Linked DNA regions of Nothobranchius furzeri. The protein of the gene in region 3 interacts with the protein of the main gene of each other region in a biochemical or structural test. Links are inferred from orthologs where the notes say so. Each region holds a gene or a part of one and is shown on either strand. Other genes may lie near its edges.

Region 1 (4,891 bases), on a different chromosome or scaffold from region 3:
TCAACAATACAAAATAACATGTATGGTCAAATTAGACTTTTTTAAATTAATTTATTTTTGGGGCTGATCTCTCTCTGTCGTAATTAAGGTTGAAAATCTTGTATGGTCTTACCTTTCATTTTGTCTGAAGTCCATGCTCCTACTCAGCTGAAATCTTAGTCACTCTGATGTAAAATTAATACTCTAATATTTCCTGTTTCCAGTGAAAATGTAGCCGGAAATATATTTCTTAGAACACATTTAAATTAGAGTCATACACATTCATTAAACATAATAAACGGACGGAGGAATGTCAGGATGTGTAACCAAACATGTATATTGACAATTTAAAGAGAACAGAAAATAAAAGTGAACACTTCTGCAGTTAAAATTGGTCCTCAGTGCTGACTAGGCTAAACAAATGTTGTTTTTCAAACTCTAAAAAAAGACCTCTAAGTATGCCCTCATTGACCCCTCTCGAGATAAATATCATAGAGGTGGTCCACACACACAAATACCTTGGTGTCTGGCTCCGGCTCCCTCTCCTTCAAGCCCCACATAGATAGTCTTGTGAAGAAACTCAAACTCAGACTGGGTTTCTTTTTTTTTTCAAATAAACAGTTTATCTTTTGAGGCAAAATAAATAAATAAATAAATAAATAAACCTAGTTACTGCAACATTTTTGTCCATTCTGGATTATGGAGACCTTTATATGAATGCCTCAGCACAGTTTCTTGGTAAGATTGATGTGGGTTATTGTGCCTCGCTGAGGTTTATTACTAACCATAGACCACTGACCCATCATTATGAACTGTATTCTCGAGTGGGATGGCCTTCTCTATCAACCAGGAGGTTGGGACATTGGTCACCTTCATTAACCCTTTAGGCGCCATAGTATTTTCACCCCCCGGGGCTGAATCAATCACCAGCGGAGTTTTCACCGGCCCGGTTTTCAGAAGTTTGAGTTCAGCTCATAAGAAATGGGAGTGAAAACAAAAGTGTTTTGTTTGTATTTATATTTTTTTCAGTGTATGTGGTGCTTGACGAAGAGGGAGTCATCAAGCCAGACAACAATGTATTTGTATGTGTGGACCACCTCTATGATATTAACCTAAAGAGTCACTGAGGGCATACTTAGAGGTCTTTTCTTGGACTTTATAAATAACAATAATAGTAGTTAATAGTCGTTCATTTCATTCATCAATATAATAAAACTATATGTTAGTTAATTGATGTTCGTGATTTGCTGCTAATACCAAAGCTAAGAGCATCAAATGATTTTTGGGCTTGTATTAAATGAATTGTGAATTTCTCTAACACTTTGTTCTCACCACATTCTTGGGGCTGAACCTCTTTCTTGTCTGTTTTTTGACAGTTATTTCCTCAGAGATCTTCACTTGAGCCTCTTGTGAAGTGTGACATGTCCTGGCCAGTACAAACTCTGGTCTCTTATCTCCCAGAGTAAAAAACTAACAGTTTCTCAATTCTAGTGGAGTATTTGAAAGCCTACAGTCAAACCTCATTTATGTTTTCATTCCATCAATCTGAAGTGTCCTTTCACGCACAAAGGAAATGCACTCATTCTCAGTGCACATCCAGATGTGTTTAGGGAGCACGAAGAGTCTCATGTCTCAGTTCAACCAGTTTACAGACAAATCTGATTAGCATGTTCGGATACTTAACCGCAACAATTATGGCTTTTTTTTTTGCTTTGATAAGTTCAATCACCCCTATCCCCTATTCCCCCACAAGCACACACACTCCACAGATCTAGTGAATGGGTTGTACATTCACACATATCTCACAAAACAGCTGCTCACAAAAGAGCTCCAACTTCCCTCAGATCTCAAGTAAAAGTGATGATTGAGAAGTTAAGCAACCTGTCTTTCCTGTACTGGCGTGGTGCTTTAACCCTTCACCTCCTGTCAAAGCTGTAGTTTTAACCTCTCTTCTTCTAACATCAGTCAGGTGCCTGACACCACATACCCCCCCCCCCCCCCCCCCCCGGTCTGTGAACATACCTGGCAAGGGGGACATGTTTTATGGCAACTGTTTTCAGTCAGTCTCAAAAATAGACAATTGTCATTTAAAAATGCAAAGAAAGAGAGGGAGTGAATAGGAAAGAGGGAAAGCAGTGGATCCCAGGGAGGGCGGAATAAGTAGAAAGAGCAGAATAAGGAGGGGGTGGTGATGAAGATCACTCAAAAGTCAGCTTGAACAGGTGAGTTTTCAGCTGCTTTTTAACAATTGTAATTAAAAACCATGAGCTGGACTAGTTTGTTATAATATGTGTGAACTGAACTTTGAACTAGTTCATTTGTAAAACAAACTTTCCCAACACTACAAGCTTCAGAAGTGGGAGCAGTTGATGCTTTTTTGCTTTGTCTTGTTTCTGCTATCTAATAAATCAAACAGAATGCTTCTGAGAACAGTTAATCTACCTGTGACTGCAGACTGACCTTATGCTGCTTTCAAGAAACACATCAGTTTACAAACTTGATCAGGTTACAGCTTGTTGAGAATCAAAGGCTGAGGAAGACATGAATCCACTGTGGTCTTTTTGGAATGGTTAAATACCAAATGTTTACATTTACAAACCTCCAGATGATCTTCGGTCAGTTCCATGTCAGCAGAGACCAAATGATGAAATAATTTTACACAGCGGTCTGTTTTTGAACATTAAACATATTTTGCTTTTGTGCAAACGTCACAAACTCAACTATGATTTCAGCGGTTGGATGTAGACATTAACAGAGGCTTGTGTCTATTGCTGGATTTGCATTAGAGCTAATGGGACACGAGCCACTTATAAACTGTCAGGCTGTAATTACAAACTCAAATATGCTGCTTACACCCGGTCATTAAAGGTCATTACACCTGGCTGTTGTTAAAGTAATCTGTCTTTTTGTTAGGATGTGGAGGCTCATAACAATCAGTCATCATTTACACAAGGTAAGTGTCTAACATTTATTAAACATCAACTGAAAGGAAGAAGGTTTTCTATGCGTCACTGTTTTATACCCAGGAAGTTTTGGCTCTGATGCTGCAGCTGGTTCCTCAGCTGAGCTGGCTGCAGCTGGTGATGAAGGGCTGCTGTGTGCTGGGTGGAAAACAATGTCCTCTGTCACCAATGCTGCTCCGCAACCTGCTGTCATGGCCTGGTCTCCTTCTGACTACAACCAGCAGGACCCCACTGCTCAGACTCTGGCCTACCCTGCTGCCCCAGCCCTTGCTGCTGATGTGTACATGCAGACACTGTGCCCCAGCTACACCATGCTAACCTACACTCACACACCACTGCTGACTAACTTTGGGGTGAGTAGGAGATCCTAATGGTAACCTAAAATCAGATTTAGAACCAAAGATAAGACATTATGATAAATATTTTGAATAAAGGCAACGTATTATGAACATCTCCCTTTTTGACTCTATACACCTCCGGACATAATTAAAAACCAGGTGCTTCTACAAGCCATTTGAAAATATCCCTTTTTGTGACATCACAATAAGGGAACTTAGCATAGAACAAAGGAGGCCCCTGCACTAAGAAGTTTTCTGAGCCCCTCCTAAAGTTCTTCACCTCATGGCAGCAACTCAGGATGTGGATTAGCGTGGCCAGCAACAGCCTGTTTACATAAAAATGACAGAGCCCGGAAATGGCTGATTCTGAAAATGTCTAGAATAGAGCTGCTGAGATTGTGCAAAGACCATAAAACTATAAACAGATATAGTTGATCTACAGCAGTGGAGTTTAGCTGTGTTCAGTGGATATACAGAGCCAGATGAGTCAACTCGACTAAATAAATGTCTGAAAGTAGCCGCTAGTGTTGCATTTTAACCTTTTTATTTTGGTGAAACTCAAAAAATCTGAATCTGGTGCAAACTCAATTTATTTCAGTAATTCCACTTAAAAAGGTGTGTTCCAACTAAAAGGCGTTCACACTCCTGAGCCTCCCTGGTAAGGACTATTCCAGGGTTCTGGAGAGGAGGGTCTGTCAGTTTGTTGAAGCTTGGGGTCAGAAGGAGCAATGTAGTTTTTGTCCTGGCCGGGGAACACCGGACCAGCTCTATACTCTTGAGGGGTTTCTGGAGGGTGCATGGCAGAGGCGTGGACTCGAGTCTTTATTTGAATGACTTCTGACGTGACTTGATAAAATGTATAAAGACTTACGACTTGACTTGGACTTGAACGCCAATGACTTGCGACTTGAATCGATTTACATCTGTTGACTTGATGATGACTTGAGCATATTTGATATTTTAGCACAAAAGTGACTCGACATGGACAAAAATCATAAATCATTCTTGGCTCTGGGTTTGATCTTGTTCTGCTAAATGCAGCAGCACTTTGTTTATAAACAGTTTCAGTTGCACTTTCTGCTTGTTGGAGCAAATAAATGAAGCTTTAAGAAGCTTTATTTCTGGAATTTATTTATTTATTATCATTGCCATTAAATTAAAGTTGACAAATGACTTGATTATGACTTGAAAATTCAAAGTTAAAGACTTAGGCTTGACTTGGACTTCCACATCTTTGACTTTGGACTCGACTTGGACTTGGTTGTCTTTGACTTGGACGTGAATCGAGACTTCACTGGAAAGACTTGTGACTTACTTGTGACTTACTTGTGACTTGCAAAGCAGTGACTTGGTCACACCTCTGGTGCATGGGAGTTCGCCCAACCAACCAATCTATATGTGTTTTGTGGATTGGAGAAGGGGGGTACTTTGAGAGTATAGAGTACCAAGCCACTTGATACAGGCAGTTAGGCCCCTGTATGACAGGTGTTAGAGCTTGGTTAGGCAGTAAGTCAATCTCATTTCCAGTGAGAGTTGTACTCCATCAAGGTTGCCCTTTGTCATCAATTCTGTTCATAACTTTTAAGGACAGGATTTCAGGACATTATATCA
Region 2 (4,891 bases), about 2.6 Mb from region 3:
CAGATGCGCAAACGGTATTAAAGGAACAATTCATTAGTCCGGACATTAAAGTGCTAATCAATAGAACTGCATTAAACTATTAGGGCCACACACACACACACACACACACACACACACACACACACACACACACACACACACACACACACACACACACACACACACACACACACACACACACACACTCCCTGTGGCACATCTCAGGGCATGTTACACCATCTAGTCCTTTTATTCAGCATCACAAATACAATGTTGCCTCTTTCAGAGCAACATGAATAGATCTAGGATTTTAATTAGGTTGATTTGACACAAGTCAAAGATGTAGTCTCACACACACACACACACACACACACACACACACACATGCACGCAGGCACACACAAAAAAGGTGTTGTAACATCAAATCCAGGCCGTCTCTCTTCTCCTGACAGATGTCTCCTTGAAACAGGTATGATATTTTTGGCTAGGTTTACTCCCTCGCCTACAAATGGGCTAGACTCAACCAGCTCCCTTTGTTCACAGTTTCATATCATTTGAAAGGAAACGTCGCAGCCTCTTTCACACTTTTTGAATGCTTTATTTCATGGCAGCTTTGTGTTTTTCCGCGTCTGCTGCTGCTGACCTTTAAATGTCTGTTTATCGCCGACCCTGTGCCCCCTCCTCAGCAGGCCTGGCCCAGCGGCACCCAGCAGATCCTGCTGCCTCCAGCGTGGCAGCAGCTCACCCACACCTCAGTCCAACACGCCACTGTCATCCCTGATTCCATGAGCGGCACACAGACTCTCGCCAACTGGAGGTAAGCAACAGGACTTTCACAAATGCCATTGACTCTCATAAGTTCTGATTTGTTTAAACAACTTATTCATCATTCAGAGCAAATAAAGGCTGGTGCTCAAATAGGAACCATTTTGCCCCCGTGAGTTGGGTTAGATGTCTACGTGGAGACGTCACAAAGCCTCTGGCCTGTCACTTAATTAACTTGATAAATAAACAGATAGATGGGACAGGATATGTGCAGGGACTTAAGGGGATGCAGGTATATACAGTAATCTGTACAAATGGAGGACTACTGGGGGCCGTGTATTCAGAGCTGTCCGTCTCTGACGAGACAGTCTCTCCCTCCCTTCCTGTCCAGTGGCAGCTCTGTAGTCCTCAGAGAGAACGCTGGGAAAGTGTCGCACTTCCTCTGCAGAGCTATCGCTCCGCAGCTGCTGGTGTCAGCTCCTCTGCCCTCCCTCTTTGCTCTCTTCTCATTTTCGTCTTCATTCAGTCTTTGCTGCCACCCACCGTCCACCACAGGAAATACTTCTTTATTTATCCAGCCAGCGTTACTGACTCTTCTCAGTGCAGTAGTATTTCTTTTTTCCACTTTGCATTGACAGTTTTACTGCGGTTGAATCGTCAGAACCAAAACTGTGTTTTATTTCAGGAATTCCCACCCCCACGGAAGCCATTATAATCCCATTATGCAGCAGCCGGCCTTATTGACTGGCCACGTCACTCTCCCGACGAACCAGACCCTCAATGTGGGAGTGGCGCATGTCATGAGGCAGCCGTCAACCAATAGCAGCTCATCTTCCAAAAAGAGCAAACAGCACCAGATGGCCGCCAGGTAATGAAACACCCACAAACCTTCACTCTGGCTGGTAAAAACCACCAGCAGCAGGAATTTGTCTTCATTCTAAAGTCCTTGATCCTCCTTGTCAATATCATTAGTCTTGTAAACTCATCCGCATTCATCTCTGTGTTTCTGGAAGGAACGTATCGGCCTACGAGGTGTCGTCCTCCCAGGTTGTGCTGTCGCCGCAGCGCTCCAAGCGAGTGAAGGAGAACACTCCCCCTCGCTGCGCCGTGCTGCAAAACGGCTCGGCGTCCAACTGCCCGCCCACGCAGGGGTTTGCCCATGGAGGGTGGGGGGCTAATGAAGCGGAGCAGGCTTCCAGCACCACTCGCGACCATCAGCATCAGCACCACGTCCCCAGACAGACCATCATCATCCCTGACACACCCAGCCCCGCTGTCAGCATCATTACCATCAGCAGCGACACGGATGAGGAAGATGAGCACAAACAAAACAACAGGTTAGTTCTGACCTGTAGGAGTTGATGTAGTAGTATGACATGCATCACGAAACTTTCAAGCTTCGACTTAAATAAGCCACATATGAGGATTTGACGATGAAATAATCACAATACGATATTATATGTCTTGATCATGGGGAAGGAAGGTCAGTGTTACGACCTGTTATGGTGAAAGCACATGAGCGTAACACGAAAAGCGTAACGGAGGCATTTGGAGTCAGTCATTCATGCCTTCATTACCTCTCGCCTGGACTACGCAAACGCCCTCGTCGTTGGTGTTCCGGTCTCTGTCCTGAATCGGCTGCAGGTTGTCCAGAACGCTGCTGCCAGGTTCTTGACGGGTACACACCGACGTAGCCACATTACCCCTGTCCTGGAATGTCTTCACTGGCTCCCTGTCTTTTTCAGAGTGCAGTTTAAGTTACTGACTTTTGTTTTTAAAGCACTCAATGACCTGGCACCTCCCTACCTCTCTGCCCTGCTCACTCCATATGTGCCCACGCGCATGTTGAGGTCGGCTGACCTTTTGCTGCTGTACACGCCGCGGATGAGACTCAAATCGCGGGGTGATCGAGCATTTGTGCATGCTGCCCCAAAGCTATGGAACTCATTGCCCATTGGAGTTCGGCAGGCTCCATCTCTGGCGGTTTTTAAATCTCGTTTAAAGACCCACTTTTACACTTTGGCTTTTAGACAGTGACTTGTTTTATTGTATCATTGTTTTAATTGTGTTCTTAGTATTCATCATGGTTTATCTGCCTTTGATTGAGATTTGTATCCTCTGTTTTAGCTCCTTGTAATGGTTGAGTTTTGTTTTAGCCTGTGCAGCACTTTGGGCAGCTCCAATGCTGCATTTTAAACGTGCTATATAAATAAACAATGCTATGCTATGCTATGCTATGCTATGCTATGTGCAAGATGGTAAAACAAACAAAGGATTTAAAACTCCACCAGCAGTAACACCCCCTCCCTTAAAAGAAAGAAAAAATGTTAAAACAGAACCAACACCAATGTCTCTTCTTTCCAACCTTCTGTCCTCCTGTGGGGTTTTTTTCCTCTTTGAGTTATTTTACCACTTTTACCATTCCCTCTAGCTACTCAGGTGAGACACAAACTAATCTCCACCCTGGTCTTCATGTGGGGCTGGGGGAGGCAGATTAAACATGAAATCAGTGGGGAGTAAGACGCCCTAACAATAAACAGACTCATCCTAAAAGAATGAGCCCCTACAGCCTACAGGGAATCCATTTCACTAGTTTTTTTCTTTCTTTCTTAAAACTCTGAAAACAGAGACAAAGATAAAATAACAAACAACCACAAGGACGATGACACAGCTCAGCAAACAGATTCACACCTAAAATCCTTCTGAATTTAACCCGTTTGAAAACACCTGACAAAAAGTGATATGTATGACTTGTCTGGTCTTGCTTGTCATCTATAATCTTCTGCTGCTGGTCCATAACTGGCAACAGCTATTAAACTCACAGAATGGCAGTGAGATTGTTTAAAAAATGGACTGCAGCACCCAAATTTGACCACAGGATGTCATTATTACTTTATGCTTACTTATTGCTCCTTTAATGTTGCTATTCTTATAATCTAACATTTCCAGGTTTGCAGCTTAGTGTTTGTGATGATAATTATTAGCTCACATGTGGTTTTTTACTGCGCTGGATAAGTAAATTGTAGGGATGAGCCGGATACTCGTTTCAGACGAGTATCCGGTACGGATAAAGCATTTTTGACGAGTACGAGCATGAAACGAGTAAAACTCGTAAATATCTGTAATCGTGCTGAAGGAAAATCCTCATTGGGTAACTTACTGTCTTCACGCTCTGTGATTGGCCAGTCAAATAGAGCGCCCGCCCCTCCCTACACACAAAATTCTGCAGCCGGGAGCTCACAGCTCAGTCCGCGTCCGGTCCATCCACACACACACACACACACACACACACACACACACACACACACACACACACACACACACACACACACACACACACACACACACACACACACACACACACACACACACACACACACACACACACACAGACAGTAACGGATCTCTCTGTGCTTGCTTCACTGTTCACGTTTCTTCAGTACTCCCTATGTTTTCTTCAGTCAGCTTCTTTTTAAAGTTACTTTAAAGTTATTTAAAGTTACTTTTTTCGTAACGTACGTGGTGCATTTGACAAGACAGAGCTGAAAACGGCTCGTGCTGCGTCAGTCACTGCCTCCGCTCCGGTCGGGGTTTTTTTCCTCTCTGTCTCTCCTCTTCCTCAGGATCCACTCCCTCTTTCCTATTCACTCTCGCTCTTTCTTTACATTTTTTAATCACAATTGTCTATTTTTTGCTCATTTAAAATATATATTTAATCATTTTCTAAATTCTTTTTTCTATTTTACATGTTTTGTTTTGGTGAAGCGCCTCGTCATTGTTATCTTGAGAGGCGCTATAGAAAATATCTTTTCTTCTCTCTCTCTCTTAATTCATGCACTTAAATATTAATGTTCTGATTTTATTGAAAAACTTGATTTGTAATAGTTCCTTTACTATTGTGATCAAAAACATTTAATCTCAACTCTGAGGCTGCTCTGTAAATAGTTTTCACATAAACAATACACATATCAACTTCTGATCAGACTTAAAATAACGTATTGATGTAAACCACACCCACTTCCGGTTAAACTACACCCACTTCCGGGTTAGGCCACGCCCACTCCGAGTACAGATACAGATAATTTAGATGGTTGAACAGATACAGATAGTGGTGTACTCGCTCATCCCTAGTAAATTGGTATGGTAG
Region 3 (5,476 bases):
GGTGCCCCCCCCCCCTCCCCCCGTCCCTCCTGGCTGCAGGTGATGAAGTGTTTGGGGCACTGCTGCTGGGACAGATGGCTCATTGTTGTTCCTCTCGTACTGCCCCTTTAATGACACACTGGGCCGAGCGAGTGTCTCTCTGCTGTGTTATCACCCTCAGCTGGTGTGAGTTACACAGCCCGGTCTCTTTGTACCTTAATATCTGTTAATAACTGTAAAGTCACCAGATGTAATGATGGAAATTATTAGTTCATTAAAGCTTGGACATATTTATTCATTTAAAAGCTTTTTTAAATGGTACAAAATCAGCTTATGAATGAGTCTAGTTCTAAAGCGGATTAGAAGGTTGTAACTAGAGCTGCAACGATACCACTTTTTTCCAAACCGATACGATACTTGGATCTGAGTACTCGCCGATACCGATTACCGATACCGATACTTCTACCACACAAAAAATGCAATGATTTGGAATACAGATTTTATTTTCTTCTCTGCTTTCAACAGGAAAAGACTGTGAGGTAGATGAAAAGTAAAATATATGAATGGAAATCATAACAAAACTAAAATATTAGGTGAACAGAAATGACAAGTTACAGTGAAGCCATTTTCAAGCAACTGCATTGGTATCGGTTAACTTTTACCGATACCGGTATCGTATCGGTGCATCCCCAGTTGTAACGGGACGTTTTGATTTTCACCTGTCAGGTGGATCCGTTTAGAGATGTGCTCACCAGGTATGCTGGCAGGTGTAACTACCCGCTGGCGTTGAAAGTAAAATCACAATCTCAGAAACACTGAAGGACTTTTGGGAGGCAGGTGTTGTGTTGAAAATGCATCCCTGGCATTAAAACCAACTTAGTGGAACATGTTACCACAACCTGGTGGTTCTGACGCCGTGTATTTAAACGACTCTTCAAATGTTGGAAAATCACCACCCGTCTCTCATGAATGCAGACCCAGCAGGGTACAGTGGAGGATAGTCTTTAGTGTTTGTTTTCGGCTGAGCTGATGGTGACATCATGGTGTCCTGCTGTAGCTTCAGCGCTGCTGCTGGGACATATCGGTTAGTTTAGTTTGGGGATTTTACACAACATTTAAAGTTCAATCTTAAGGTGGAGACTGGGGCACACTCCCGGAGGTTTGACTAACATTTGGAATGGGAATGATTTAACCTGCGGAGCAGGAACGCTGAGGGAGAAGAAGAGTGAAACTAGGAAAGGAAAAGCAGTGAGAAAGTGAGGTTTGGTGTCAGTGAGGGCAGCTGGTGGTGCAGCCTGCAGCGAGACGGGCTGAAATCTGAGCCGTGCACAACCACAGCACTGCACGGGGTGGGGGTGAAATATGCAGGCTTTATGCTGACATAACCATGTGAGAGGCACAGAGAGGGAAGGGAAAATCAGGCCCGTTAAATCACAGGTCTGATGGGAAAATAGGGAAGAGTGTGTTTGGACTGACATCTGATGGCTGCTGGGCTCTTTTACACAAACACGCGACACCTACGTCACTACAGGAGACGACACCCCATGAACACCGGTGGAGGGAGGGAGGGAGATTTCGGACTTTCCCTTCTTTTCCTCTTCAGACTCTGGAAACACTGGGCTCTGATTATTCCTGTCGTAACGCCGTGAAGGAATTGTTTTTTGCTGCTGGAACCATGTCTTGCTCTCATTTTGGTTGCAAACCAGCGTTTTGGAAAAGCGCTTTGTAGGAGAGTTTTTTTTTACACACTTCTGCAGTTTGGTGCCAAATAGTTCCTGAAAACCTGGCCCAAGGAGCCACGGAGGTGGAACGCACACATGGATTATTGTCCAGTGTTGGAGGAAGCGTGGTGGGATGAAGCTTTTTACTGAAACGGAAAACGACGCTGTGTCGGCGGTTCCACGTCCTTTTGTGTAATCGTCCTAGTCTTTGTTTTTTCGTTTGGCTCGTACCCGACAGACAGACTGCTGCAGTTCCCACCTAATAAAGGAATTATTCATGCTCGTAGCTTATTTTCCTCCCCATCCTGTTATTTTTAGTGGGTTTGGAGGACTTGTTTCCTGTTGCGTGGACCCAGCCTTCGTCTCTTTACTACAACATATCCGAGGGGCAGGAGGAAGAAACATGATCCGATGTTTGGGGCAGCAGCAGTGTGTGGTTTCTGTGGAAAAGGTCTGGGGAATGTGGCGGGGGGGCGCTGCATAAATGTCTTTGGTCCAAGTGAAATCAAAGCCAGCGAGCGTAGCTCTACCGTCTCCACCCTGGAACTCCCTGCTCCGACTCTTCTCGTGTGTCGCCACGAGGGATGTCCACACGCCTAAAGGTGAAGGAGCCCAACCCCCGAAGTGCTTCCGTTATCTGGAACTACGCGGTTCCTTTTCCCACTCATGGATCTAATGTGGTGTTGCAGCTGTGGTCAGAGGTGGGGGAGGGAGGAGCTCACCTTCTGCTCAGCTGTTCCGCTTTAAGACAGCTTTGTGTGTGTGTGTGTGTGTGTGTGTGTGTGTGTGTGTCAGTCAGTCATGATTATGTTGAAGCTCCGCTTGTTTTCATCTCTGCTCTAAATGATGATTTTATTCTGTAATAGAACATCCGGTTTTGTTATCAGGGCTTCAAACTATATGATTATTAATCTAGAATATAATCTACAGAACCATAGACGATCCTGCAGAACCGTCCTCCCCAGCAGTGACTCTCAGTAATCCTGGCCTATTTGATCCGGTTCTCATGCGGTTCTGGAAGAGTTCTGATCCAGTTTGCACAGATGCATTTTGGCACAGCTTCTCTGACTGGACCGCTGCAGCACCTTGGTTCTGTTGTAGGTCTGCTGTGTTTGGGGTCGTTGTCCAGTTTTATGAGCCGGTTAGGTCCAAACTTCAGATGAGGTTCTGGTGGACCACAGAACTGGCCCAAACCACCAGCCGTCCTCCACCAGCTGACATCAGCTGTTAGATTTTCTCTAGACGTGCTGCTGTGCATTATGGGTAAACGTCCTCCCTTCAGTCTCCTCAGTCTGAAGGACTTGATGCCCAACGTCTCTGCAGTCTTGATTCTCGTGTGGATTAAACTGAAGTAGCAAAGTTAATTTCCTGTTATTTATGAAGAATTGGTGCGACTTTAGGTGTGATTGGAATCAGACCTGATGGTGTAACAATGATGCAACAATCCCCCCCCCCCCCCATCACATGTTGGTGTAGAAAATGGGGAAAGTTCCAGTGTGAACACACCTTTACCTGTCTGTGTTTTTGGGTCAGGTTTGTTGTTGAATCCTGACATGACATGATCATAAAATCCCGGAGACAATCGCTGAGTTAAGAAAGCAAAAGGATGGACAGACGAGTAGACGTCAAACTCAGTGGTTATTCTTTTGTCCTTTTTAAGAGGATGAACTGTTCGGAACTGAACTCAAAGGAGAATCAGAATGAAAAAATCTGATTCCAATTTTAATTGTCCCACAGAAATTTTTTGTGCCATTGACTCCCATTCAAACATAAAAAAAAGCTAAATATCACCATACATTTTTTAAAATTTCACTCCAACTGTGTTCCTGCAGCCACCAGGGACTGAAGTTATTTTTACTTTTTTCCTCTAAATGGCATGGCACTGATTTATAACACACTCTAGTAATGTATGTTTTGGAGATTGTGTGGCCAAAAATATTTTTATGCTCATTTGTGACTAGAGCCCTCACAATTCACCCCCAAAAAGTCCTCTGGACATGACACACAAATGATTTAGCATTTTATATTTTTATAATGGTTTTTTTTTTTTTTTTTGACAAAACATGGCACTAAAGGGGTTAAATCTCAAAAACACCCCCCCCCCCCACCCATTTTCTGAACCTGCTTTGTCCACGCAGGGGGGTGGGGGTGTTGGTGCCTATCTCCAGCGGTCAACGGGCACAGGGTACACCCTGGACAGAGAGCCAGTCCATCGCAGATCTCAAAAACACTCAGATATTTTACTTTGTTTGGTGAGGACTGAAGCTAAGGAAAGAATCTGTGTTAAAGATTTTTGACTTTTGAAATGTTATATAATTTTTTATTAAACATTTTGCCAAAATGCATTTTTTTTTGTGCGAGGGTACCAAGTGTAGCTTTTTTTTAAAAGGAAACTCCAAAGGTTAAAAATTAAAGAGATAAATGAAGCGTTGGGTTTGTTAAATATGAATGAAATGTGCTGGCGTCACCAGACAGCCCATTATGGACGTGTCCCTGTAATGGACGCTCCATTAGCAGCAGGTGAGTGGCTGAGAGGTTCTGAGTCTTCTGCTGTCCTCCAGCTGCTGAGCTGATTCCACACACGGGCCTTAAAGTGTCCTTGTCCAAACACTGACTTTAGTTTTAACCACATTCTTTATTTCTACATTTTATTGTCCGATTAAAAGCAGCTCCTCTTGTTTTTGCTGCAAGGATGAAACCTGAATCTGGACTCGATCAGCGCTTGAACTGAAGGGAGCAGATAGTTGAGTTTGTTTTACATTTGTGTGTTTTTGTCTTTTCAGAGGTCCCTTCATTTCAAGATCAGACGAAAGCCTTATTTGGAAATCTTATGGACGAAGGTGAGTAGCAGAGCCTCCGGGAGGTGACCCCCTCTTCTCATAACTAGTTATTGTGAATTTATCTGAGCTGCAGGTTCTCGTGCTTATAACTGATGGCTGCTGATTCATGTGAGGGAAGCTAGATTTTCTGTTTTTAAAACCCAAAATAGTTCTGATCATCAGTAAGTTACCAGTATTGATGTAATCCGTCTCATGCGTGACCCAAGTCAGCATGTGGGGAGCGTTCTAACCACAATGATCCTGAGCTATGTGGGAGTATGGAGGTTGGGTTAGGCGAGACCTCCCGCTGAGGGAGGTGTGTCGGTTCTCTGCTTTTATCTTGGCAGCATCGACTCCTCGGCACAACATGTGCCAGTGCCGTTTATTAGCGTGTAGCAGCTCGCTGCAGCCGTGTGTGCTGCCAGCTGTCGATTACAGCCGCTGTTTGAGGAGGTCAAGTCTCAAAATCCTGCAAAAAGATCTTTTCTGTCTGAAGAATGTGTTTTCTGTGTTTGTGTTGGTGGTCTGTCCGCCCACAATGCTTCTTTTAAAGCTTTGTTAGTTCAGGTCTGATATTCTTGTGTCAGACTTAAATCACAACCGTAAGTAAATCTAAATTATCTCACCAAACCGAAACCAAAAGCAGGAAGTGTGGTTCTGTTTGTCAGACGGATGAACTGATGGTCGGTAATCTGGGTTGTCGTTGTTTATGATGGTTAAAGGAGGGTTCTGGAGCCGGCCGTGACTCGGGCCTTGGCTGAGCTGAATGTTCTGAGCTAATTTAGTCCCGCTGCTGCTAGCATGCTAGTCAGCTAAGAGGTTCTAAGAATAGCTGCGTCTCAGTCACAGCTAGTGTTTGGAGTCAGGCGGAGGAATGGCGTCACGAGAGCCCCGCCTTTACCTCTGCAGCTGGTGTGAGCGTGCATGTCTACGTGCACGTGCTGTATATTTGCCTTA

What was found. The genes of interacting proteins can lie anywhere in the genome.
Region 1: the proteins of siah1 (region 3) and POU domain class 2-associating factor 1 form a complex in vitro, tested with the Homo sapiens proteins (2 studies listed by BioGRID). The link is inferred for Nothobranchius furzeri from reciprocal best matches to the Homo sapiens genes SIAH1 and POU2AF1.
Region 2: of the proteins of siah1 (region 3) and hipk2, one has a biochemical effect on the other in vitro, tested with the Homo sapiens proteins (4 studies listed by BioGRID, with this or other methods). The link is inferred for Nothobranchius furzeri from reciprocal best matches to the Homo sapiens genes SIAH1 and HIPK2.

The regions. Positions count from the first base shown.
Region 1 is NC_091753.1:21,185,398-21,190,288, forward strand, and holds part of POU domain class 2-associating factor 1, read left to right. Parts: intron 1-2,892; coding exon 2,893-2,932; intron 2,933-3,005; coding exon 3,006-3,295; intron 3,296-4,891. UniProt on the Homo sapiens protein: Transcriptional coactivator that specifically associates with either POU2F1/OCT1 or POU2F2/OCT2. It boosts the POU2F1/OCT1 mediated promoter activity and to a lesser extent, that of POU2F2/OCT2. It recognizes the POU domains of POU2F1/OCT1 and POU2F2/OCT2.
Region 2 is NC_091744.1:79,009,464-79,014,354, forward strand, and holds part of hipk2 (homeodomain-interacting protein kinase 2), read left to right. Parts: intron 1-665; coding exon 666-796; intron 797-1,429; coding exon 1,430-1,612; intron 1,613-1,757; coding exon 1,758-2,081; intron 2,082-4,891.
Region 3 is NC_091744.1:81,653,423-81,658,898, forward strand, and holds the start of siah1 (E3 ubiquitin-protein ligase Siah1), read left to right. Parts: upstream 1-1,954; 5' UTR 1,955-2,184; coding exon 2,185-2,302; intron 2,303-4,483; coding exon 4,484-4,540; intron 4,541-5,476. UniProt on the Homo sapiens protein: E3 ubiquitin-protein ligase that mediates ubiquitination and subsequent proteasomal degradation of target proteins.